7 linked regions of the Danio rerio genome follow. The protein of the gene in region 3 interacts with the protein of the main gene of each other region in a pairwise test. Links are inferred from orthologs where the notes say so. Each region holds a gene or a part of one and is shown on either strand. Other genes may lie near its edges. The genes, in order: slc25a46, lnx1, fhl3a, gcm2, znf512b, snrpg and pierce1.

The links.
Region 1: the proteins of fhl3a (region 3) and slc25a46 interact in binary tests that used the Homo sapiens proteins (3 or more experiments, as listed by UniProt). The two-hybrid records come from large-scale screens. The link is inferred for Danio rerio from reciprocal best matches to the Homo sapiens genes FHL3 and SLC25A46.
Region 2: the proteins of fhl3a (region 3) and lnx1 interact in a two-hybrid assay, tested with the Homo sapiens proteins (2 studies listed by BioGRID and IntAct). The link is inferred for Danio rerio from reciprocal best matches to the Homo sapiens genes FHL3 and LNX1.
Region 4: the proteins of fhl3a (region 3) and gcm2 interact in binary tests that used the Homo sapiens proteins (3 or more experiments, as listed by UniProt). The link is inferred for Danio rerio from reciprocal best matches to the Homo sapiens genes FHL3 and GCM2.
Region 5: the proteins of fhl3a (region 3) and znf512b interact in binary tests that used the Homo sapiens proteins (3 or more experiments, as listed by UniProt). The two-hybrid records come from large-scale screens. The link is inferred for Danio rerio from reciprocal best matches to the Homo sapiens genes FHL3 and ZNF512B.
Region 6: the proteins of fhl3a (region 3) and snrpg interact in binary tests that used the Homo sapiens proteins (3 or more experiments, as listed by UniProt). The two-hybrid records come from large-scale screens. The link is inferred for Danio rerio from reciprocal best matches to the Homo sapiens genes FHL3 and SNRPG.
Region 7: the proteins of fhl3a (region 3) and pierce1 interact in binary tests that used the Homo sapiens proteins (3 or more experiments, as listed by UniProt). The two-hybrid records come from large-scale screens. The link is inferred for Danio rerio from reciprocal best matches to the Homo sapiens genes FHL3 and PIERCE1.

The regions. Positions count from the first base shown.
Region 1 is NC_133180.1:61,260,243-61,264,471, reverse strand, and holds the start of slc25a46 (mitochondrial outer membrane protein SLC25A46), read left to right. Parts: upstream 1-1,429; 5' UTR 1,430-1,487; coding exon 1,488-1,722; intron 1,723-4,016; coding exon 4,017-4,059; intron 4,060-4,171; coding exon 4,172-4,229. UniProt on the Homo sapiens protein: Transmembrane protein of the mitochondrial outer membrane that controls mitochondrial organization.
Region 2 is NC_133195.1:25,268,640-25,272,139, reverse strand, and holds part of lnx1 (E3 ubiquitin-protein ligase LNX), read right to left. Parts: intron 1,776-3,500; coding exon 1,567-1,775; intron 1-1,566.
Region 3 is NC_133191.1:36,956,211-36,959,710, reverse strand, and holds part of fhl3a (four and a half LIM domains protein 3), read right to left. Parts: coding exon 3,372-3,500; intron 2,819-3,371; coding exon 2,632-2,818; intron 679-2,631; coding exon 527-678; 3' UTR 1-526. UniProt on the Homo sapiens protein: Recruited by SOX15 to FOXK1 promoters where it acts as a transcriptional coactivator of FOXK1.
Region 4 is NC_133199.1:9,178,011-9,182,224, forward strand, and holds the start of gcm2 (chorion-specific transcription factor GCMb), read right to left. Parts: upstream 2,801-4,214; 5' UTR 2,481-2,800; coding exon 2,385-2,480; intron 2,205-2,384; coding exon 1,952-2,204; intron 1,319-1,951; coding exon 1,206-1,318; intron 413-1,205; coding exon 287-412; intron 1-286. UniProt on the Homo sapiens protein: Transcription factor that binds specific sequences on gene promoters and activate their transcription. Through the regulation of gene transcription, may play a role in parathyroid gland development.
Region 5 is NC_133198.1:15,038,402-15,041,901, reverse strand, and holds part of znf512b (zinc finger protein 512B), read right to left. Parts: intron 1,862-3,500; coding exon 1,514-1,861; intron 1-1,513. UniProt on the Homo sapiens protein: Involved in transcriptional regulation by repressing gene expression. Associates with the nucleosome remodeling and histone deacetylase (NuRD) complex, which promotes transcriptional repression by histone deacetylation and nucleosome remodeling.
Region 6 is NC_133198.1:36,914,893-36,919,066, reverse strand, and holds the start of snrpg (small nuclear ribonucleoprotein G), read right to left. Parts: upstream 2,801-4,174; 5' UTR 2,684-2,800; coding exon 2,652-2,683; intron 2,417-2,651; coding exon 2,394-2,416; intron 1-2,393. UniProt on the Homo sapiens protein: Plays a role in pre-mRNA splicing as a core component of the spliceosomal U1, U2, U4 and U5 small nuclear ribonucleoproteins (snRNPs), the building blocks of the spliceosome.
Region 7 is NC_133183.1:13,120,194-13,124,323, forward strand, and holds the start of pierce1 (piercer of microtubule wall 2 protein), read right to left. Parts: upstream 2,801-4,130; 5' UTR 2,735-2,800; coding exon 2,580-2,734; intron 309-2,579; coding exon 230-308; intron 153-229; coding exon 1-152. UniProt on the Homo sapiens protein: Microtubule inner protein involved in the attachment of outer dynein arms (ODAs) to dynein-decorated doublet microtubules (DMTs) in cilia axoneme, which is required for motile cilia beating.

The sequences.
Region 1 (4,229 bases), on a different chromosome or scaffold from region 3:
TTAAATATATATATTTACGATAATCTACTGAAAGATGGTATACTTTTTGTCGCTTATTCTGAAAAACGATAGGACCTGTGAAGCACAAAGTGAGATCAACAACCTGACAAAAAGCTCTATTAATAATGTCCCCTTCAGTCCAGATCAGCCTCAATGTCACATCAGCAAATACAAAACGACAAAGCTGACCAGATATATGTTTAACGTTAAAATCGTTAACTGTGGCGCAACAAATAATAACAAATGCATGAAACGATCTGGAATAATAACAAAGCGAAGATTTACTTGGATAAAACTAAACATCGTGTAACGTAGCTTGCAAGCTATCCAGCAGATGCTACTGCAAGTAAACAACTTTTTAAGACGATACAGATATCCTTATTTACGTTTTAACGTACTAACACACGCAGGTGTGTGTTTCTACAGCATTTGAACTATCGTATATCAGCTTGTCATTATCGACATTTTATGTTTTTATATGTAAAACCATGATCCTACCGCAGGCCCCGCGGCTCCTGAGCGGATGCTGCTTCTGCTGCATCTCAAGCTCAAACTGATGTACTGATATCTTCATCAACAGAGGGCGCCCTCACCTCCATTTGCGCCTGCCCGGATGTATTAAAAACAATTAAACGCACACACACAAATATTTTGTAAAATCATAAAAGGATAATTAACTTTTATTTAAATGACGCACAAAATATGCAAGATATGTTTTCTAAAAATGAATATTTAAAAAAAATAATCGATTACACTTAAAACAATTGTGCAGAAGGCTCAAAAAAATCCACAAATGGAACCGCAGATTTATTTCTAAAAGCATAATTTAAATTACGCTCATTAAAATATATATGATATGCTCTTCCCAAAAAATTATATTTAAAGAAATAATTAATTAACCTCTAGAATTGGTAAAAAAGAGACAAGTTAGGCTAAAACTCCAAATAAAATCAACAATGCTAAAGCATCTATTTGTAAAAGCACAAACATAAAACAAGACATTTTAAAAGTTTAAACGGTATAATTATAGTACAATCAAACTATAAAATGCTATAAAATGTGTTTATATTGTATTGTTTTATTATAACATATGGATCCCAAATCTACCTCTTTTCACCTTTTTACCTTCCTTGTATTTTCCAAAGCATACTTTCTTCTTTTAATAATAAAATGAATACTTAACAATAATTAACGATTTCCCCCTCGTAACTATTGCATCTTTGCAATACTACATTACCCAAAAGGCTGCATTCAAACCGGAAGTAAACTGTCACTCGACAAAAGTCACCCGAACGAGTGTAATGTTGTTTTGCTAAAGTGCTAGCCTTGTTCATTGCGTCGGTCAATTGGCAATTATTTCTCTCATTTCCCATTTTAATTGCTATATTCTTCAATGAACTCGTCCCGCATCACATAGGCTAGAAGTCGCAGAACGTCAGACTAAAATATCTTGTCGTTTCGTTGTAGTTGCTTTGGCGATTTACAGCATGACTTCTCGTCGGCCTGACAGCTTTGAGGGTTTGGGTTACAGGGGCAGGGAGGACCCGGCATTCAGCGGGGGCTATTCGGGCAGGTCATTCAATAATTCATCCAGCTCTGACCTCCAGAACTGGGTCACCACACCTCCAGACATACCTGGAAGCAGAAACCTGCATTTTGACGATCGCACACCCCAGTTTGAGACCGCACCGGACGAGGCTCAATCAGCGGCTCCACCGTCCGGTAACATTGAGTACAGTTTATGAATTTGATGATCAGTGTGCATTCAGTGAGATGTTATTATTACAATTATCTTCTGTATATAAGACATGGCCTTAAACATGCTTATTGCGCATATGATGTGTGTGTTGTCACTGTCACTCCCCGCCCATCATTTGATCCATGAATGGATTGTGAATCTCTCCTCTAAGAGAATTGTTTGTGAGGTAAAAAGACAAAAAGAGTGTTTTAATTACCCCCTACAACAGAAATACTACATAACTAGACCTGCCACGTTATCTATTATTGTTGTACGTTATATTAAACCAAAATATATTGCAATAAACAATATTATTGTCATTTTAAGCCACTTATATAATGCCAGCATAAAAATATAATAGCATTACAATGCAAGTACGCTCTTCCGAAGAACACATCATATTTTATTCTTAAGAATATTTCATTTGATTATATATGTCATTTTTACCATTTAATAATGTGGCATTGGAATCAGAATGTTAAACGAGTATCCTAAACAAATAAATAATAATAATAAAATATAACCGAGGCTGCGATATCTGCTACAAGATATATATTTATTAGTCAGACACCCATATGAAAACATACTAAATTAATTTACAGTAAATTCTACAGTGTATACTATGGTATACTGACATCTCCAATACAGATAGAAATGTTGCTCATTCAGCTAAAATGTTAATAGAATGGATTTTCTGTACGGGCAATGTTTATTGCATCACTAAAAATGATTGCGATCAAGTCCATGTATTGTGTGATAAGTTGATAAAACGATTGTTGTGACAGGCATATGCATAACCTAATGATACTTTGTATTATTTAATCAAGATAGTTATAACTACAGTATTTCAATGAATGTTTTGTAAGGTAGCTTAATATCTCGCACAGTAATCTAAATTAAGCAGTGTACCATTGTTTTAAGCGATTCCACACTGAAGACACAGAATCATAAACAATGCATTTGCTTAGTAAAAAAGGTTGTCATTAATGTGTCACCTAGACCTATTTTACATTGATTTTAATACACAAAAAATTATTTCAAAAGAAAATTTTTAGCCAATATTATTATAACCAGGCAGAAGGATATATATATATATATATATATATATATATATATATATATATATATATATATATATATATATATATATATATATATAAATAATGTTCAGTATAGTTCCAGATTAAATGAATGAAAGTGACAAAAATTACATATAAACATGTATGTATGTATGTATGTATATACAGTGAGTGAAATAATCGATTTCTAAAGAAGCGGTTGACAAGGAATTAAACCAGATTTTGGTAAAAACCCAAACAATACAAACATGAAAAAAAAAAAAAATTAAACTAATTGGAAACTTTTTCTGTGTAATAATAATGGAAGAGCACAGGGAGAAAATACTGAATACTTTCTATACTTTTATGTACTGAAATGTATTTAATACTTTAAATAAAGGGCTTTTTTGGTCATGGCAGATGGATCTCATATAGAGAATGAAGTCACATGCATTGCAAAGATGTGATTTTTATTTTTTAATAGACTTCAAAAAAAAAAGTGTAAAAAAATCTCGATGGTTCTGTGGGTCTCCCCTATCAAATCTGATCTTTATTTCATATTTTCTTATGGGTTCAAGTGAGGTGATTGACTGGGCCATTCTAGTAGCTTGATTTTCTTTCTCTGAAACCATTTGAGTTTCCTTGGCTGTGTTGGGGATCATTGTCTTGCTGAAATGTCCACTCTGGTTTCATCTTCATCATCCTGATAATGTAGATGTTGTCTGAAGCAGCGGTTATTAATTTACAATGAGGATGGGCAGAGGGTTGCTAAAAAACTACTGAGAGATTTCAGCTGCTGTCTGGGCTTTCACTGCCTTTTTACACCTCCCTTTCTTCATGTGTTCAATACTTTTTCACTGCATCATTTCATTTTATTAGACATCATTTGTAAACTAATTAGATTTGCTTTCTTTGCATTTATGGATTTTTTTGGTTTCTATTAAAATTTCAAATCAACAGCACCTTTAGAAATATGTTTGCTGAGAAAAATGCTGAAATGTTTAATACTTATTTCTCTCACTGCATAGTAAGGCAAGGAGAGCATACTTTGGTCTCCATAGCTTTTATTAAATTGATAAAATTATTGGAATATGTTTTTCTATCAATCATTTCATCTGTTTATTTCTATGCACACACATGTTTGTTTTTAAACAAAATATGTACATAAGACATGCAGGACAGTTTTTTTCCTAAAATGACTCCTCCACTCTTTCTTTCAGAGCAACTGAATCGATTTGCTGGGTTTGGAATTGGTCTCGCAAGGTAAATAATCGCCAACGATTTTCATTCAAAGAAAAAAAATACTTGAGTATAAGATTATAACTGGCAAAATAGTGTTCCCAAATTCCTAATTATATTGTATGGCTTCAATTAGTCTCTTCACAGAAAATGTCTTGGCCCACCCCTGCATTGTGTTTCGGCGCCAATGTCAG
Region 2 (3,500 bases), on a different chromosome or scaffold from region 3:
CATAACCAATTCCAAAAGCCTGAGTTTCATGTAGTACTGTCAAACAATTATTTAGGATTAATCACAATTAGGCTTTGGATGATAACCGTTTTCAAGGTATATCGTGGTTTGGAAAAGTCAAGGTTTTAAAACCGCCAACGTCTTCTGCCATATCATTCCTATGGTATTTGTAAGATGATTTTTTTATTTTTTTTATTATAATTTTCTGTTTGTTTTTAGGGCAATAGTATCTCCAGCAGAAAAGATATAAAAAATTAATCAATGGTAAATAAATCTGTTATTTTTTTTAAACTAATGAAGACAGAATCAGTCAATGATTCATTTGAATTACTTAGGCTGACATGTTTACTGCTCCAAAATATTTTAAGTGTTTCTCAAAAGAAAATATATTGTGTTCAAAGGGGTAAAAGTTTTAGTTTTTTACCCAGACATTTAAAAAGAACATAATTTAGAGCACAATACCTTGGAAGCATTTTTTATATAAGGTTATCATACCTTCAGAATCTTATATCAGCCAATGCCTAATCACAATTAAAATTGAAGGTTGCATTTACCTGATATAAGTGTTTGTAGTTTGTATAAGCTTTATGTAAGATAGGATGTACATCTAGCTGGTTGTTAGCATACATATTTTAATTTTAAGTATGATTAATTGCATAAATTAGCACACTATTGAAAGGCCACATTTTAAATGTTAATTTTATTTAGTGTTATTTTTATTCATTCATTCATTAACATGCATGGGATTAATAGCAAGAAACACACTACTGAAAGATCAAATTTTAAATGTTAATTTTATTTAGCGTTATTTTTATTCATCCGTTCATTAGCATAGACTAGAACATCTAGACATAAAATTCTGTCCATGTCCACATCTCCATCTAAACAGCTAACACACCAATTACTGCATATTTTTAAAACCAGTAATCCAGTACTCTTATATGCAACAATAGAATGTTTACTTTATAAATACACATTATTTTATTTATAGTGTCCTTACAGTACATTTTACATATGCCATTATATCTAGATCTACGTTGTTTTATTGTTTTTAAAATATATTTTAAATTCTTATTTTTATTAATCTAACTTATTCCAATGCACTCACTCATTTTCCTTCATCTTAGTGTCTGATTTATTAGGGACTACCACAGTGGAATGAACCGCCAGTTGACTTATTCAAATGTTTTTCTAGTGTTCTTGTGTTATATATCTATGTATACAAAGTTCCTGGAACCCACAATGAATTCCTTGCATGTTTGTACAGACTTGGAATATAAAGCTGGTTCTAATGTTGATTCTGGGAATGCTGCATATCTGCTTTTTTTAGGCTTATGGGACATTAACATAATCACAGCTTAAATGTAAATATAAGAGCATCTCTGCTTATTTTATATAACATGATCAAATTAAAAATGAAAGCAAAAGGCATTAAAATGTCTACATGCAGAATCCTAACACGTTGCTCCTCTGAACAACAGATGGTGACAACATGTGCTATCAAAACCGGGGTGATTTGCTCCTACTGTACATTGACGTAATCTCAGCTCTAGCACACATACGCACCTTAAGAATCATATCTCCAGGTAGTAGTCTTCCATCCCGAGCGATGACCCCCTCGCGGTAGATGTCTTGTATGAGGATGCGTACTAGAGGGGTCTCATTGCCACCAACAATACTGATTGCCAGTGGTTCACAAGGATCTGCCCTGGTGATCTTAATACTGGTGACCTCACCATCAGGGATTAGATGATGCAGCTGAGGTAATGCGAATACTGAAACAGAGAGAGAGAGAGAGAGTTTGTGTAATCAGTGAACTGAACTCCCACATGATCATCACTTTCAGTGCTACACAAACAGGGCATCTGTCCAGAGTAAAGCCAGGCCAAGCATGACTGCAGGACTTAAAAAAGCATTACAGTGGTCTGTTGGTGGATGCAAGGCTGGCAGAGACTTTATATGAATGCATTAAGATAAATCTTACAATTAAAGGGGTGAGTTTTAAGTAAAATTAAACTTTTTTCCACAGACAAATGTGCATACTGTAGCGCTGATCAAAAATCTGGAGCTAATATGTTATTTTTTATAATAGTAATTCGTTGTTTTATTTAAAAGTAGTTGTTGTGTTGATTAAAACTGACAGGGAAAAATGTATGTCTAATAATAACAAATGTAATTTATTCAACTTTTCATTTGTCAAACCATTTTCTTTTTTCAAGGAACTACACAATTGTTAAGAGTGCCTGTTAAGAGGATTTTTGTAATGATGCTGACTATTTGAAAATAAGAAATAAACCAGCAATTAATTTGATTTAAGCATATTTTTCCAATATTGAAACTCGCAATTTTAAATTGCAATAATATTTCATAAAAACTTATTTCACCAGTTGGATAATTTTTACTGACCAGCTTTGGCGGTATAACAATTACCAGCAATCTAGGGACTGCAAATCGCTCGAGAACTACAAGCACCATATTAATGAACTACACAGCAAATTCATCAGAGTTAAATTCTCGGTGTTGAAGCATTTCAGAGTAAAGTGTTGACGTTAAAGAGTTAAATTTTGATAAATGAATATAATAAGAGTTAAAATTGATTTTATTCAGTGCGAAATCAAAGAGTTATCTTTTCAATACTTGGTGGTGTTATTTCCAACATCCGGGAATTCATGCAGCCCCAGTCACTGAAGAATTTTCCAGACGCCATTTTCCATCTGAGGTTTAGAACAGCAACTGGTGAGTCAAACTACCTAAATGTTGGTATTTTACTGACTTTCTTTAAGGAAATACAGTTGTAAACATATTGTTAAGTTAATAATTTTAGAATGGAGTGACAATTTTAAACTTCTGCGGTTCATTCATGGTCGTTTGTGTATAGCTTAACTGCATTACTATTCACTTCTTTTCAAGAATGTTTTTTATATATGCTCACGCATACATAGTGCATAAAAACATCAAATGTACATGTTAAACACATTTATGTCACGCTTAATGCTATTTTGTGCGTTGTTACCCATCTGTAAAATAAAATCGACACTTCTCCTTTAATTCAAAGCAAACTAGCGAGGGAATCCCCGGAGCAGCCTAGCCTACTCTGCCTGGATGCTAACGGCAACACAGGACGGTTTCCATGAGCTCTGGAGTTTCTAAAACATATCTGGTGAGTAAATGAACATGCTTACTTGTAAAAGGCTTCCTGACTGAAACATATGATTGTTTGTTATTCGTGTACGTTAATTTGGTTATTTTAAACACCGCAGCCCTTTTAAACTGGTTCATTCGTGGCTGTCCAAATAACGTTAGTCCATAGACTCGTGTGATAACGTAACAGTTACGCTTGAATTATATTAAGTGTTGACTTCCATTAAAGTCGGAATGTTAACATTAATGTCTTTAAATGACCGCGTTTGCACTTTATCAGACATTTGACGTTACAGAAGTCTCCCGGAAGTTGCGGGACTAACGTTAACGTTATCCCGCAAATGCACAGAGACTCCCAG
Region 3 (3,500 bases):
CACAGAGTGTTTGGAACAATTCTAAATGGGATGTTCGGTCACTTTAACAGAACACCAAACCTTTGACCTTTGGGTGTTTCTGAAGGAATCTGTTTGAGTTCTTTTACAGGCTGCAAACACAGACTACATCCACCCATTAATGACTACTACCAGCTTAATAACAGTTCTGACTGGCCGGCAAAAATAAAGAAGGCGATAACTAGTAGGCAGATCAGATATTTTTATCTGTGCATCGAGGCCTGTACATTAATGGAGTGTTGATACTGGATTGTGCGGTGGATTTGAACTCAGCGTTGCATAGGAAGCATCAAGTCTTGTTTGTCCAGTTGTAAACCAGCAAGTGTATGTTGAGGGTTGTGATGATTGTGCGAGGGGTAGATTGCTGGTTTGCTGTTATGTTAAATAGCAGTATCAGCATGGGCGTTACTTGAAATGGGTAGTTCTTGGGTGAGGGCACAGCAGTGTATAATAGTGTGTGTGTGTGCATGTGTAAAGGAAGGTAAGGCATGTGCATGAGGGTTGTATTCTATAGGGTGCTGTTGCAGTTGCGACAGAGGATCTCATCTTGCTCGGGGAAGAAGCCTGCTCCCACCAGAGAGACAGAGCATCGAGAGCAGGTGAAGCACGGCTGGTGCCATTGCCGGTCCTCAAACGAGATGTACTTTCCCCCGCCAAAACCTAAAGAGAGATTTAAACCGGGTTAGTTCTCAGGAATCAAGATGCATGATAGGAACTAACAGTGACATAAAGATTTTTGTATCACAACTTATTTGTCAACATTCCATCTCCATTAATGAAACAAACTAAATGCAATTGGCTCTGATAACACTATACACCAGCTGCTGATGCTGTGTAATGATGTTGATGTCTGTCAGCTTAGAACTCATGGTTCCTAGTGAGGGTGCAAAAGAAACCAGGAATATTTGCCCTAGATGGAACATGTAGTTCTTGAGGGACACCATGGTGACTAGTTCCAGTTCCTGTAACTGTTTTCCTGGTTGCATTTTAACTAGGAACTTAAAATTGATGTAAGCTAGCTGACTGCAACTTCAAGTGTGGCACTAACATAAATTCAAGAACTGGAGGTTGGAGGATCAGCCATGATCAGAGGTGTGTTTTTGTTGTCTGTTGTGTATACTGTACTTAAGAAACTTTTACTGAAGTGGAAAATGATTTAGCCCCAGCAAAGGGCATTTAGATAACTAAAACCATGTAAAGTTCCTGCAAACTCACAAAGTCTGTATCCATATAGATATCTGATAAATGGAAATGTGTGCAAATTACAGATGAGATGCAAGTTCATATCTGTATTTCACATATAAAATAAATATTAAAATATTGCAAAAATGGCTATTTATTCACGTTTTTAACCGTTGATTTGTTGTTGTTTTAACAGGCATGACAAATATGTACATGTATGTTAAAATATGGCGGTCTCCAAAATTAAACCAAGAATAGACTTGTGCTGAGTCCACCAGTCTCATTAGTTAAGGTTAATATTAAATTGAACTAATTAATAAATGACTATAAAAACTATATGTTTATTAGACTGTTGCACTATTTTTGTTGTCAATAGGCCTATTGTGTGCACAACGTTTATATATTTATAACCACCTCTAAGGAGTCTGGGGGTTGCGAGTCACTGGCATTGTTATTTTAGGGGTCGAAGGCTGAAAAGTTTGGGAACTCCTGCTTTAAATGACGCCGGTGCATCTCTGATGTATTGTCTACTCGCCATAACTGGGTGTAATACAGCTAAAGCAGTAAACTGCTGCAGTTTAATTAATTCAGATCTTTTGTATATTTAGATAAATCAATAATGAGAAAATTAAGGCCCTTAAAAGCTATTAAAAAGTCTTTATGATGTTTCTACAAGGTCTTACATTTTGTTTAAAAGTTGACCAAAGTGTTTGACTCCAATAAAAAAAGCAAAAATATATTTATTTTTTTCCTAATATTAAAAATCAGTGTGCTCGATCCACACAATTGGTTCAAGCTTCTCCGTCAGGGGGATTTCACATAGTTTGCGACAAACGCGAGAAGGTGATTTGACGCTCTCCACATGTACACAACCTCTACATGTACACGTCACACAACCATAGAGCGAAACAGATGGGAAAATGTAAGTTTGCGTACTCCTGGTTGGAGAAAGATGAGTTTAAACAGTGGCTGAAGCCTGTTGCTGAAAACAATCGCGTAATTTATTCTTTCAAGCTTTGATTCTTCTGAGCTTATCTGAGTTCTGTTGCATGGGTGTCCTTCATTGATTTATTTAACTACAGCTGTTGAATGTTAAGTTCAACATTTAATATTAAAGTATAATAACATTCCAATTATATTATTTTTATTAATATTACATATATTTTATGTGAAATGTGCAACCCAAAAATGAACTTGTATGTCATATATTTAATTTGCAAATATTTCCATATACAATATCAGATTTCTATATGGGATACTTCTGCAATTAGTTCCTTCTAGGAATTATGAAAACATTTCTCCTGTGCAAAAGCTTCTTACAGTACCAGAACTATGTGAAAACCCCCTTTTGTATTTTTTTTTTTCAAGTGTTGTGGGAGCACTAGTCCACCATCAGTTTTTGAAACAAAGTGACACTACTGCATCATTTACCTGTAATTGGTTTATTGCAGGCTTCACACTTCTTAGCATACAGATTTCCGAAGCATTTGATGCAGTATGGGCTGTCATCACGAGAGGTGAAGTGCTGGCCAGCTAGCTGGACTTTACAGCTTGTGCACACAAAGCACTCCTTATGCCACGGCTCATCCCTATAGGTCACACCACCTTTAGCCAAGGCCTGAAGTGGAGAAGATGGAAAAGTAACATTTAAACTTTCATTAAATTGATTAGCATTAAAAAAACAACACCTTTAAATTCACTTTAATGGACTACCACTTGTACTTTATACGTTTAGACAAAAATGTAGCTTTTATTGAGCAGCCACAAAGAATTTGAGACATCAGTTTTGAGACTTTGAGACAATCTTGAGACTTAAAATATCTTTTCATACATTCTAGATTCGTTTTCTAATTAGTTTTGGGTAAAATCAAAACTAACTGTTTCCAGATTTAAAAAAAAATCTCTTGTGTTTCACATGCAAATAGCAAGAGATAAATGATTGTTTTTTTAAAACAATAGAGCCAAGAGTCCAAACAGATGGTGGCCTGTCAAGACAGGATGTGAAATTGACAGGCAGAGTTAATCAGTGACCAGCACGGCGTCTGATATTCAACAGGAAGAAGAAATGAGGTCAGAATTTGGACTTTTTTTGTGGAGGAATGAGTGCATGAACTGATTCGAAACACATGGTTACTTATTTTAAAGCTGATGAAATCTCTCTCACCACTGACCTGTTTACATCGAGTACAGCGTGGTGCGAACTTGTTCTCATAGCAGGGTACGCAATAGTGGTCATCTTTATCTGGGATGAAGGACTTGGAGCCTATTGGCTGTTGACAGCTGTTGCAAATGAAACAGCC
Region 4 (4,214 bases), on a different chromosome or scaffold from region 3:
ACACTGTTTTATTTTTTGTACAAATTACAGTTACACTAAAATACATGATATATAAGTTTGCTTAGTATGGAACTATGAAGTTGTTTTAATGTCTTAACTAACAATAATGCATTGGAAATACAGGAATTATAGTTGTAACAAATTATAATAAAAATATAATAATCATTATTATTACTGACTATTGTTATTTTCATTATTATGTGCTGATCTATACCTATTATATTAGCATATACTTTGTGTATTTACAATTAACTTTAAGTACTACAGAATATAGCCACAGTTTTACCTCTGGCTCCACCAGTCTTCTCTTCTGCGAAAAGGGTGGTGAAGACATCCTTCTTTTTACCGCACTCCTTCTTGCCTCTGTTTCAGACTTGCTCTCTGGTCTGGGATGGTCATGTACTCCTTTAGCCTAAAACAGACATCCAGCATATAGGGAATTGAACATCTATCAATGGCATGATATTCATACTTCATAACTATTTAAATATTTAACTCTTTGTAAATCTAAAACATATTCTTGTTGTATGGGGATATAATTCTGTGCAATTTAGGATAAATTTAACAGGTTTTAATTTACCAGAACTTAACTTTAAGTTAAGTTTTCTCTCTCTCTCTCTCTCTCTCTCTCTCTCTCTCTCTCTCTCTCTCTCTCTCTCTCTCTCTCTCCCTCTCTCTTTCTCTCTCTCTCAGTAAACACAAACACACATACAGTTGGTCAAAATTATTAGCTCTTCTGAATTATTACCCCATTATGTTTTCCCCAACTTATAACAAAAAGATTTTGTAACACATTTCTAAACATAATAATTTTAATAAGTAAATTCTAATAGCTGATTTTTTTTAATCTTTGCCATGATGACAGTACATGATATTTTGCTTGATATTTATTTAGGATACTTTTATTCACCTTAAAGTGCAATTCAAATGCGAAACTGGATCGCTTTTCGATAAACAATTGAAAAAATATTGCTTAATATGGCTAATAATGCTGACCTAAAATGGCTTAAAAAAATTAAAACTTTTCCAAATTATCTCCTCCAGCTCTCCTGCATTTCTAATCGTAATAAATATTCTATTATTTTTAAGAAAATAAACCAAATTAATATGATGATGAGGATGATGTTGATGATAATAATAATAATAATAATAATAATAATAATAATAATAATAACAACAACAAATGTCTTCGAAGCCAGCCTCACCTGGAAAAATATAGCCTTCCCATCTACTCTCCAAAAGTTCGTAACAGGATAACCACTGTGACCTCGGCACGGAATCAATTCAAGAGCTGAGTTACAGTTCGGACAAAGCTTTTCTGCAAAGACAAGACATACAGTATTAAGTTAAGCTACATTACATTTCAGTTAAGCTTTTTATCATGCATGCATACATACATATGTAAAATTGCTGTTTTGCGGAAAATGTCATGTCCATCAAAATGATTAACAAGTCATAAGTGTTCCTCGGCTGAGTCATGAATGAGCGGATCAAATTCAAAGAATGAACATTTGGTGACCTAATGTGGGTATGTAATTTGGCTAGAGTATATTAAATACTCTCGTGGTAAATTTCTAAGTTCTCTTAACTGACATTTCTGCGTAAAAGTCTGTTTCCAAAAAGAGTTAACATATTACAACCATTTATGAATTTCTGTGGTACGGCTGATAATTTTAAACTAAACTATTTGTGCCTAGCTTTTCCTCAGTAAAAAAAAAAATGCACAAAACGCGAAGTGATTTGAAGTGACAGTGATCTGAATTACTGTTGTGTTAAACAGAAACTCAAAATTGCTAAAGCCTTCAAGAAAAAAACACACACACACATGAGGCTTTTTTTTTTCCAACTAAGTGTTTTAATAGCTATATATATGTCCTTTCCTATCAGACTTCCTAACGCGATTAACTCATTTGGTAATGCGTATTTGGTGGCGGGGAAATTCTGAACATACTCTGCTGTTTCTGTCGCGCTTTGTCACAGATGGCTGGTCTCAGCTGAAGTTTGGATCCGTCTGGAAGAGAGCAGTTTCGTGAGCACACCACCACACCAAGACAAGACTTTTTCAGGATCTGACAGTTATGGTTGTTCGTGTTTCTCATGGCCCATCCGCTCAGGTGTCTTTGCGCATTCTTATCTTCACTACTGTAGATGTAACGCACATAACCATCTGTCCACTCCTGAAAAGCATCATACTGCTTCGTGTCCTGAAAACAACAGTATTATTATATTAACATCAGGCCTATTATCAAACTGTACCATTCCCTTTTTAGCTTAGTGAATAAAAGTTTACTCTGGAAAAATAATTAAATATTTTAATAAATATGAAAATAATTTTAATAAATAAAATTCATTAAAAATGCATGAAATAAAAGCAAAACATTTACCTGTGGAAGCTTGGGGTCGTTTATATCCCAAGTCAACTTCATCCCGAATGAACACACGCAGTCTGAGCTGTCAAACTGATCTGAGGATTTGGACATGATTTGAGTCAACTCCGGATGATAACAACCATTTAAAAAATCAGTTTCAAGGCAAAATTCAGCTCGGTATCTAGATCAATTTACTAAATGGATCGTACATCTCACGTCCTTGGGAGCTTTACTTCCAGAGTCTTTTTTTCTCTCTTGTAAAATCCACGTTATGCGAGTCCGTACAGGTGCGCTTCACACAGGTAATGGTCTCAGGTAAATACTGCTGTGTCTATGTAAAGAAGAAGGCTGGGCTTACACACGCACACACAACCTCAAATACTTCTTTCACTTTACGTAATCCGTGCGTTTCACCGCCAATAACGAACGAGTCCCTTCGCAACAAAACCAAAAAGCTTTGACTTGATGGCTGAAGCAGTAGTTTTTGTTATATAGATTTTTCTTACATGTCTCAGATTTTATCTCCGCGTTTACAGTTTAAAAGGAAAATGACAGCCTCTTTTAAAGGTGAACCCGACGGTGTGGTATTTCACGCGTTGTCAGCGAAATTTATGCAGGACACTTTCACTGGGACTGAGCCGAAGCTGATGGTCACAGAACAGGACTGGTCCAGTTAGTGAGGTAATGTGATCTACTGCAGGTCATTAGTTGTTGTGTGTAAACGAAAAGCCGCAGTGCTGACAAAACACGGACTTGTCGTTAACACAACAAACACTATACGCGGCTCATCAACAAGCACCTTTTCTATGTATCTATTGGCGATCATTGATGTCATTGATTGAAAATGTCAAGTAATGATTTCAGGTGATACATTCACCCGGGGGCGAACTTCAAATGAATGCAACTGTTTGCTCCTGCTTGTAACAGAAATTTGTAGCGTTAATCTTCTTCTTAATGTTCATCATCATCATCATCTTTATTATAATTATTATTATTTTTATTATTATTATTATCATTATTATTATTATTATTATTGGGCTAATTTAATAGAAGTAGTATTATATGACTATTATTATTATTATTATTATTACTAATATTATTATTTGTTAAGCAAAATTAATTTTAAGATCATTGCAATTAAATTAAATAGGTAATGAATGGCCTACTCCCGTAAGTCGCCTTCATATATTTAATTTTAAATATTTCAAAATATAGGCCTAGCAGTAGACTGTAAAATATAATCAAATTTGAACGTAGCTTGGATAGCAAGAGAAACTCCAGCATCTCCGATTGACGTGTAAGAAAATGAACTATGCAAGAATACACGAGGTTTGCTTTAATTAAATGTGCCGTTTCCTTTGTCTGGGCCAAATGCAAACTGTCTCTGTACACTGTTTTGTCAGTTACACGCCGTTTTGTTAGTTTCAATAAAATGATTTAGTGCAAGGAAGTATCAAGGCATAAATCTAATGATGACTGAAATTATTACTTAAGTTAATATCGGCATTTTGTAAATAATATAGAGCATAATGTTACAAAATGCCTTATTTCCCCAGCGATAATTTGTCAGCTATAGCTGTACTATTAATATCTAATAAAAATGTATTATATATATATATATATATATATATATATATATATATATATATATATATATATATATATATATAAGTCATACAATAATATGTATAGCCTATATAATAATATTAACTGATCACACTTTGAAACTCCTGACGCTTAGGATTGCATGTTTTTGTATTTTTAAAAAGTTCTTATTAAATTAAATGTAACTTTTTTCGTAATATTGATTTGTTCCTTCTGATTTTTATTTCTATTTTGTCATTG
Region 5 (3,500 bases), on a different chromosome or scaffold from region 3:
CCTCCCGAAATCTTGTTTTGAAATGAATCCTTGCGCTTAACAACAAAATTAATTATGTAGGCTAATGGATGTCTGTGTGTACAACACGTTTCCTTATCCACAAAAGAGGGTGAAAGTAAAGAATGATGAGGCTCATTCTCTCACTGCAGATGCTCTGTTTAACTGTTTTCTGGCTAGTGAAGTGTTTAGTTTTTCCATTTACACACTCAGCCATGTAAATAGCATATGCGCCATGGCAAGACACAACTGACTTTTAAAGGGAATGGGAGATCAGACTCTAATTGGTTTATTCTCAAAACACACCCATAACTCATTAAGATAATAAGCACAACCCTGTTAGACCATGCGCTGTGGCGCAGAGTGAATTTTTCCATCCTTAAAATAGCAAAAGAGGATTCTGACAAGCCCTTAATGCTTTTGTGCCCTGCACTTTGGACTTTGCGCTTAGACAGTAAAATAGAGCCCTAGAACCGTGACTCAGTGCAAGCCAACATGTATCTGTGACTCAGCATGTACATTTAATAATCTTAAAAAGTTTAATATGTATATGTAAAGGTTTAATATGTATTAATATGATAATAAACCTTACCATTTCGTTGGGGTGCAGTAAGTCTGAATGGCTGTATTTATATTTTTGTCATGTTTCGTCTGGTGCAAACAACCAAATTGCTTATAGTGTATCTCGTCACTTAGCCTGTTGTTAGGACAGGGTTACAATGTAACCCGCTCACCTAATGTTTACTTTCATAATATTTATCTTATTTGCTAATTATGAAACACCTCATGTGGAACTCTGAATCTGCGTCTCAATCTGCTACTCTTCACCAGAGGTCACATTTTGGTCACAGATGAATACTTTGAGTGCTGTTCAATTCGTAATGCACATTTTAAAAGTAGAATATCTTTGACTTTAGCATTGTTTTTCAGATAAACGAGAATTATCACTTAGCATATTTCTGAAATACCTGCATATAATATATGATATTTTCATGCTTTAGAAGAGTCAAAAACTTACAGCACCTTTAACATAGTGACTCAAACTGTCATAACATTGTCTGTCAAAATACTAAAAGACTTTTCCAACATGAATTCTGTCAAGATTAGAAAAATATCATGTAAAGGATTTACAATGACACTTGACACCACCCACTGGCTTAATAAAAGGTTTATTTTGACTATGCTAACACAAGATCTGATTGCTAAATGTTTTTCACAGGAAGATAATGTTTTTAAGTATGTATACAAAAACCTTTATTTTTCTGTGTGATCTGTCTGAATAAAGAATATTTGAATATTGTCACCAGGAGAATACTGTCATCTGTACAAGGAACATTTCAAAAGCCCAAAGAAAAAAAGTTCTGTTTTTAGTAAATTCTTGTTAGGCATAAATATTCTAAAAACAACATTTGCTGTCAAATTATTGACATCTCCAATAGTAAACTAAAGTTTACTTAAATCTTGAAAGTAATTAGAAATTGAAATTTTAAAGTTAGTAGGTCCAACATCACTTTACCCTTTTAATATCAGGAACAAGGTCATCTTTGATTCTTCGTTTGGTGCCCCAGTCTTTGGCCAGCTCATCCTCTGCAATCTCCTGCAGGTGAAATACAGCCACCTGAGCAGAGCGCCGTCTCACCCGGCCACTCGGCGTCCTCTCCAAATCCAGCAGGTCCTCCACTTCCCCTTTCTCTTCCTTCCTCTCCTGCATCTTCTCCACCTGCTCACCTTCGCTCTGCCTTTCCTGCTCTATGCTCTTCTTCAGCACAGGCTCTTCCTCCTCCTGTTCCTCTTCATCCTCCTCCTCCTCATCATCATCATCCTCTTCCTCCAGCACATCCTCCTCATCTTTATTGTCCTCCTGCTAAAAATGAGAAGTCAGAGCATTCAGAGGCATTTGAAATCCATTCAGATATCATCATTATATGTCTATTATTTTATATTGTTTTATGCTATTTTACAATATACTGTGTTTTGCAGATCTGTATTACATTCCTATCATGTTTTAAACTTGAAAATGGTTTGTAGACAGTGAGTTTTAGTAATAAAAAAAAGTAAAAGTAACAAAGTGATAGTAAAGTGATCACCCTAAAAAATCAATCTGTCATTATTTCACCATCAAGTGTTTCTAAACCTTTATGAGTTTCTTCTGGTGACACAAAAGTAGTAACATAAAACCACTGACTTCTGTAAAAACCAATACTATGCCAGCAGACACAGGACGTCAGATTGATAGAGTCAGAGTCCAACGTCAGGCCAACTTTAATTTCTAATGTCCAACCTAAAATCAACCAATTATCAATGTCTAATGATTTTACAGCTTGATGTAGAGTGAACGATACCAATATGATGTCTATCAGACGTTGGATTTTGGTTGCCATGCCTGACAAATAAATGTCATATTTTGACATCTGAGGCATCATATGATGATGGTTTAAGTTGTTGGCTCAACATTGGATTTTGGTCACTCTCCAATACAACCTAAAATCAACCAAATACCAACATAATTTGATGTCGATATTGGACATCAAAATAACATTGTCCTTAGACACTGGCTAGACATTACATTTTGGTCACCTGAAGTCACAACTTAAATCTAACCAAATAGAATTGAAACCAGAAGTTTAATTACACTCTAAAAAAGGAACATAACCATTTTTTTAAATGTCTGATGGTAAATCATACTAAACGTTTACTATTTTAGGTCCGTTAGGATTACCTAAATCATTTACATTTGCTAAATGCCAGAATAATGAGAGAATTTTGTTTTTAATAATTTTTTATTAAGTTCTGGACCAGTGGTCACCAAACTTGTTCCTGGAGGGCTGGTGTCCAGCAGATTTTAGCTCCAACCCTAATCAAACACACCTGAACAAGCCAATTAAGGTCTTACTAGGAATACTTGAAACATCCAGGTGGGTGTGTTGAGGCAAGTTGTAGCTAAACCCTGCAGGGACACCGGCCCTCCAGGACCGAGATTGGTGACCCCTGTTCTAGACAATCAAAAGTTTACATAATTTTTTTTGCCTTGCTTTAAACTGTATAACTTTAGTCAAAGGTTTTGGATATCCTTACAAAAGCTTCTCACAATAGTTTGAAGGAATTTTGGCCCATTCCTCCTGACAGAATTGGTGTAACGGAGTCAGGTTTGTAAGCTTGCTCGCGCAAGCTTTTTCAACTCTGCCCACACATTTTCTATAGGATTGAGATAAGGGCTTTGTGATGGCCACTCCAAAACTTTCACTCTGTTGTCCTTAAAGTAAATTTAAACTAATTTGGTAGTATGCTTAGGGTCATGGCCTGTTTGGAAGACCCATTTGAGGCCAAGTTTTAATTTCCTGGCTGATGTCTTGCGATGTTGCTCCAGTATTTCTACATAATGTTCTTTCTTCATGATGCCATCTATGCTGTAAAGTGGACCAGTCCCTCCTGCAACAAAACAGCCCCACAACATGCTGCCACCCCCATACTCCACAATTGGGATGGTGTTCTAGGCTTGTAAG
Region 6 (4,174 bases), on a different chromosome or scaffold from region 3:
GAATTCGGCAGATGCAATGCTGTTGTAATGTTGTTTGTGAATGTTATGTCGATGCTCCAGATTAAAGAAAAGAAACGAATTATCACCCTGGTAACCAGCGTTTATTTACGATGCCCACGTTGGAGAGAATGGTCTGTAAACAGCCAGAAATAAGGGTTACAATAACATGCCCGCTCACTTTTGCCAAGGCACTTACAAAAATACATTTCTTCTGATGCCATCTATCTAAAATGAACATTTACAAGCACAAAGACGTGGAATCGATCTATTGTAAAAGGTACTTTGTAAATAAGCATTTGCTATCAGTTCAGAGTCCCTTCTTCCGCTACGATCAGTGGTGAATTAGTCTTGTCTGGTTCTGTTCATTGTTGATTGGGTGAGAGCAGCTCAAGCTTACTGGCTGTGGAAATCAGCGGGCGTGGCTCATTATACTTCAGGAAAGCGCCGTTTATAACGCGCGTTTCAGTGGGGTTAAAACGGCGTTTTAAACGGCGTTTTGTGGCAAGCGGATCGCGTCATAAACCGCGCTTTTCACTAACACTAAAACGGCGTTAAAAACGGCGTTTTTTACAGGTTTACGCGCGTTATTTGCGGCGTTTGCAATCAGAACGGCGTTTTTAGCGGCGTTTGAAATGGTATTAGCGCCGTTTAATGCGGCGTTTTAATTGTAAACGCGATTGATTAATAGTGTTTTTATGAGCTCTTGGGCTTGCCATAAGATGATGATGTGCGCGCGCGGGACTTGTTTTCTCGCGCTGGATCAGTTGAGCGCGCGCGTGAAGATCCCCTGTGCGCTTGCAGCTGTAGTTTTCTCGCGTGTCTGTAATCTGCTCACGGTTCACTTCTCCTCGCGCGCAAACATCACCGCTGCGCTCGATTTATATTGGCATTGATTTGCCGACATAAGACGAGTCGGACATGATATTTAAGATCCCACATGAAATTTAAGACCTCCTTATGGAAAATTACAGAATTCAAGACATTTTCAGACCTTAAAAATCGAAAATTTTATTTAAGACATTTTAAGACTTTTTAAGGACCCGCGGGGACCCTGTAAAATACATCATTGAACGTTTTTATTGAAATAATATTAATATATATTAGAGCTGCACAATATATCACTTCTTGAGCAATGATATTGAAATGTGTGCATCTGCATTAGTTACATCGCAAGATAGGCGATAGTTAGGATTATAGATGACCACCAGAAACCACTAGTCAAAACACACAAGATTTGTGGAGACACTGCAGAATTTAAGCACAATAGAGTGAAAGTTTATCATCACTTTAAGGCATGTGGCTGAGCATTTGAAGAGAGTTTAAAACATTAGTAGTGCATGAAAATGTTTAATAAAGATTAATTTTATTAAAATTTGTGTATGGTGAAGACTACACAGTGCTATTTTACATTTGATTATTCGATTTCAGTACCTGAATCAGGGTTTCTGCAGGTTATACAGTTAAATTTAATTGTTTATAAAACCTTTATTAATTACATTTTAGACCCATAAAGTGCTAAAAGCTAAGGAATTTTTCAAATAGCCCTGATGGAAAAGATTTTTATTTGCCCTATCAAAAACATTATTATATTTTAATACATTTAATAATACAATAATAATAAAAAAATATATATATTTCCGATTTTATTTCTTAGCAAAATATTGTGTAAAAACAAGCAAGCTCTAATTGTATCTATACACTTTTTTCCTCAACATAAACTTTCTTTAAAATAAAAAAAAGAACAAATATTTTAAAACTTTTAAAAACTACAATAAACTAAATCTATGCACAACAATCTCTCCTGTTCAGTGTCCTCAGTAGTAAATACATGGAGAACTTTTAAACACATGTTATTGTATGGAAAATAATTAAACCATTATGGTAAATAGATTAAAAATTACCTTTTTAAATAAAAAGTTTAAGGTTTTGTTGAGAGGATTGTTGGTGATTGTATGGGTGTTAATGGCCAGACTGGGTAGCAACACATGACTTTAAAAAAAAAAAAAAAGAATCAAGACCTACACAATACAATATTTCAGTCAAATTAATACTTTTTAATGGCCAAATTTTGGATTTTGACATTTAAGACACTGTGGAAACCCAACTGAGTACTGTTAGACTCTCAAGAAACCCATTAAGGACGGTTTATTTCACTTTAATAATTACGTTACCCAATTGTGTGTGTGACTAGTTTGTATAAGAAACTACATTAAAATGTATATTTAAATTTCACTCCCCTACAAAACCACTTTTCAAATATTTAATTACTTAATTACAAAAAAGAAAATATCGCAATGTATAGTTTTTTCAATATCGTGCAGCCCTAATATTGAGCTATAATTCATATTTTAACTGGAAAGAGAAACATCTAACGTTATTAAAAGATTACTCACGTGAAAGCTTCTTGTCCATAAACCTAAGAGGGGAAAAGGCACTTTCTTAATTCACAATAGATACACCACCAAACTGAAAGCTAACTCATATAAAATATATCAAAATGGATTAGCAATATAAGTTATGCTTGATGTGAAAATAAAGTAATTTAGCCGTTAAACTGAACACACACCGGCTAACGTTAATAAGTTGCCCATGTTAAATACTTCTTAATATCAAATTTCTAAAAAACTCAAGAAAATACTTGAAATACTTACTTTTTCAGCTCGGGTGGATGTGCTTTGCTCATGTTTATTTAGTGAGATATGCTAGTTTTGTCAAACAAATACGTTTGAATCACGTTTCAAGCGTTGTTCGGAGAATGAGTGAAATGCAGGAAGTGACGTTTTGGGTCGCGGGATTTTTCCCTTGTACTAGCACCATTGAGTAATATTGCCCTCTACTCCGGCGGATGATGAACTACAACAACAACAACATATCGACAAGGTCGCTGGTTCGAGTCTCGGACTCTCGGCTGGGTCAGTTGACATTTCTCTGAGGAATTTGCAAGTTCTCCCCGTGTTCGAGTGGGTGTCCTCCGGTTTCCCTCACAGTCCGAAGACATGTGCTATAGGTGAACTGAATAAACTAAATTGTCTATAGTGTATGAGTGTTTCCCAGTACTGGGTTGCAGCTGGAAGGGCATCTGCTGTGTAAAGCATATGTTGTATAAGTTGGTGGTTCATTCTGCTGTGGCGACCCCTGATGAATAAAGGGACTAAGCCAAAAAGAAAATGAATGAATATTATACAGGCCCATAGCCAGCCTGGTAAAAGGGGTGGTTCTTTTTTCTAAGTAAGTTTACCTTTTTGCAGGTATTTGCCTCATTTTCTATTTAATTATTAGATATACTGCATTTTAGTGATATTTTAAGCACTATCTTTAGCTGAATTAACCTGTCGAATAGTCATCATAACCACAATTTTGATGAATCAAAATATTTCCTAAAATTTTGGAATAAAGAAAAATAAATAAATACATATTTTTAAAAAACAAATGTTACAGCCAATATTAATTAAAAAAAAGGAATCTATTAATGTTTAAATTAAAAACTGTAGCCTATTATAGCGACATTTATTGGGCAAACAACAACTTGGCCAGCTCATTCAACTGTCCTCAGTTAGAATTTGCCCATTTGAATACATATTATTATTAATAATCAAAGGTTCAAAACTGATAAGCTGAAGTCACACCGCAGCAACAGCCAACAGAGGATTACAATTGGTTTTAAGACCCTTTTTGCTTAGTTATTTTTACAATTTATGAAGCATAGCAATTATAATGAGACAAACAAGCTCATATATGGAACAAATGTTGGACCTTTGTTAGTGAGGGGTAGGTCTTTCGAACCCCTCAAAGCCTATTGAGGTAAAGTTAATTTTTATATTCGCACATTCACACTTTCTCCTTAATAATATAATTTCAGAGAAGTATTCACTGCAAATTCTAAATAGTGAAATCATATTAGCAGCCATCAACCATCAAAGTGCAACATTGTTGACAGTCAATTTAATATTGGTAATGTTGCTTTAAAGTCATATTTACATCTGATTTCAGTCCGAAAATTCAAAGTACCACGGTAAACAATATATGGAGCTGTCACTGAACGAATGTGCGAACTTTACCTTAATCCAACCCAACCCCCCGGCTTAGGGCCTGTTATAAATCCAAAACTTACAAGAATATTTTAACCAATTTATTCAAAAATAATTTCAACGTACATAGTAACATGAGGTAAATT
Region 7 (4,130 bases), on a different chromosome or scaffold from region 3:
GAATGGAAATTGATTCTATCATAAAACACAGACGTTTCGTTGGGTCTGGAGAGTCGACTCTTGTCCAGCATGGTGTTGAAGCCGTTGTCTCTGTACATGCCACTTTTTAGTAGATGCTCCGAAAACCTGTGTCGACTTCCGTTAAAGGATGTCTGGAAAAATGAAGCAGATTTGTAAGTACTCTTGTGTGTATTATCCTATTCATTTATATTGTGTGCCGCTTACTCACAGGCATTTCGTGAACTGTTGGTTTTTTGCTTCCATATGCTTGGTTTGTTGTTCGGTACAGTGGATTGGTTGTTTTGTGACTGAAATATACAATGAAGATCATTAGAATACACATATATTGTATTTTATAGTAATGAAGAGCATTTAGAAATTCTCAGTTTCTCTGGATTTACAATTCATAGTTAAGTTTACAATTTATAGTTCAGTAAAATGCTTGTTTTGATTTCAAACTCATTTAGCGATGAGTCTGAGTTGTTCTTTAATTCAAACTCATTTAGAGTATAAACTGACAATTGGTCAAAATAACAATTATATTCTATGTTTAAATAACTTGATATGGCAACACTTTACATTTAACATGAACTAAGAATGAACAATAAATTACCTAAAAAAAAACTTGTCGATCCCAGTTGAAAGAGCAACAAATAATAACTTGACTTCTACAGTAGATATTCATTTGGAAAAGTGACAGAAGGTAGATTTTTCTGATGAATCATCTGTTGAACTGCATCCCAATCATCACAAATGCTGCAGAAGACCTATTAGAACCTGCATGGTATGCAAGAGATCTGCAGAGTGCAAGGCAACATCAACAGCCTGAGGCATCAAGATATTTGTCCTGACCATAACCATACAAACCACAGGAGAGAGCAAATACTCCTTCTCATACTTCAGCCTCCATATCAAAGTTCCTGAAAGCAAAGAAGGTCAAGGTGCTCCATGATTGGCCAGCCCAGTCACCAGACATGAACGTTACTGAGCATGTCTGGGGTAAGATGGAGGAGGCATTGAAGGTAAATCCAAAGAATCTTGATGAACTCTGGGAGTCCTGCAAGAACGCTGTTTTTGCCATTCCAGATGACTTTATCAATAAGTTACCTGAGTCTTCGCAGAGATGTATGGATGCAGTCCTCCAAGCTCATGAGAGTCATACACAATTTTAATTATTTTTCCATGACTTTATATTCTGTACTCTACATTATTTTTGTTAAGTGACAAGAATTTTGTCTAAGCAAAGTCAATTCTTACTGTCCTAATTAAATAATTAAAAATCACGATCATTTATTTATTTTGCGTTTCATATAAGCCACTTCTGATACCAAATGATCAACTAGAAGTCAAGTTATTATTTGTTGTTCCTAAAACTTGGATAGGCGACAAGACTTTCGTCAAGTAGTGTACTTGTCTTGTACAGCTTTTATTAATCATAGTTTAGAATTTACTAATGCATTATTAAACTCTAGAGTTGTGTAAAGAACTAATTAACAACTTTTTCTTTTGCCAACAGAAGTGAACAAATACTGTTATATTGGTCATTTTTAATTCATGTAAGTAAATATGATTAACATGAACTAATTGAATCATTTTGTAAAGTGTTATATAAAAAACAATATTATACCTTCAGAAGAAAACTACATTTAATGGAATAATCCTGATTTTCAACCACAACAAATGAATACATGTCTGAAGTGTAATTTCGTCAAAAAATGTGTTATCAGACATTAATACAGGGTTATACGGTCATGGAAAACTTGGAAAAGTCATGGAACTTTGACATGACATTTTCCAGGCCTGGAAAAGTTTTGGAAAATTGATATTTATTTTGGGTTAATTGTCTTTACTTTTCTGTCCTTGGCCAATCACATACTCTCACATTATTAGTGCGTGTAAGCATATTCTAAATAAATTTTACATAGATATAAATATATATTCAAACTGAATAGATTGTTGCGTGCATTGTTTTTCTTTTACTACGCATACTGTATGTATGTAGACATTGCATGAAACATTAGGTGATGAAAATTTACCTGAAAGTCTTGGAAAAATCGTGGAAAAGTTATAGAATTTTAGTGGTAAAAATTTGTATGAACCCTGTTTATAGACTAAATATATATATATATATATATATATATATATATATATATATATATATATATATATATATATATATATATATATTTACTGAAACTCTTAAGTTACTTGGAAAATAAACATCCTAAGAAATTCAAAATTTTCAAGGATCCCTGTTATTTATAGCTTGTTGTATTATTGTCCGTTCTTATTTAATTTTATTCCATAATGCAACTGAGAAGAAATAAGTAAAACTATTTATCGCTTTAATCGAGATACACACATAAAGGACCTGAACCGGAAGCGATGCAACCTGTTTAACAAACTATGGCTAATTACTGCGTTAACGCCTCAAACAACTAATAAACTATTTAAAAACATCCAAGCAAGCAGGTGTTAAAAGTTCACTCTTGAAGAATATTCAACTAAAGTGCTAAAAACGTCAAGTATATTGACTTCAACTTCCGCACTTTGGACACATCAAGGCTGGCTCTTCTTACCTGTATCTGAAACAATCCGGGTTATTAAAGCGAGACGGTAAGTTTTTGTCAACTTTGTACACATCGCTTGTCTTTATTTCAGATGTATTAGAATCTCCAGGCCCTGCGGTCTCTTCTTTCGCTGAATAATCGTTCTTTATTTCGTTTGTGCTCATGTTTGTGTTGAGGCATTATCCGTGTGGTTGCTATAAACACTGTAACCAGGTGACGTAATGTGACCCTGGTAAGTTAAGTGTTGTCTTTTCTCAAAAAATTTCTCATAAGTAATAATTAAAAATTTAGCTTTAAAAAAGAAATAAATACACTCTATGGAGAAAAAAGTAAGAGATATTTGGATTTACTGTGGTATTATTAGATATGTCAATTATTCAAATAAAGTAACATTACAATGAGAATCGTTTAGATGTTGTTATTTGTTGTGATTGACGATAACATTTCGTGGTAATTATAATTAGTAAATATTCCTAACTCTTGTGTAGTTAAAACATTAGTATTTGTCTTAATCCTTATATAAATAACCAAGAACATGCCACCTTTTTATTTTATGCAGAAAAAAGCTCTAACATTGATGTTTTTATATTAAATTTGTAGGAGATGTTATCAGTAGTTTGCAGAGTAAAACAAAATGATGTTTTACTCAAAAGACAACTATAAATCATAAAACCAAAGAGAAAATTACTTAAAGCTATATAAGTAAATTTCACATTTCTAATGACCAGGGGTGCAAAATAACTAATTACAAAAACTCAAATGACTGTAATTGAGTCGTTTTTCTCAGGAATCGTATTTACTACATAGGTTTAAAAATATGTACGTTTACTTTCCTTTGAGTAAATTTTTAGTGCTGTATCTATACTTTATCTCCATTAATTTCCTTCAACCTGCAGGCACAACTTTATTTATTTTTATTTTGTATTTTTTTTTGTCGATTAGAAAAATCAGTCATGTGATTCCTGTCCAATCAAATCGCAAATAGAAGGTAAATCACATCATAATGAACTTACTCAAGACATGGGCACCTTATAATTGCAGCAAACAGTTTGGAAGCATTAAAAGTGTCCAACAAGATCCAAAATCTTTACACGCATTAACCCAGATACAGTTTTTTTGTATGTCACTGATGACAAGATGACGATTGTTTACTATATGATGACCGAAATGGCCTTAAACACTCAGCAGGTAGAAGATGTCAACATGACATCAAATTGACGTTGTATACTAACTATGGGGGTCGTTGCGTTTTGTTTGGAAATGAAGTTCGGGTTGATATCAATGTCCAACGTCCATATCAACGTCTAATAAAGTTACAGCTTGACGTTGTGTGAACATTACCACTATGCCGTCAGTATGATGTCAGTATCTGACGGCAATATGACGTTGGTTTAAGATGTTGGCTTGACGTTGGATTTTGGTCACTTTCCAACATAACCTAACATCTACAGAATATCAATGTCATTTGACATCGTTATGGTCATCAAAGTAACATTGTCGTTAGATGCAGACTAGACATTGAATTTTGGTCACCTGACATCACAACCTAAATCTAACATA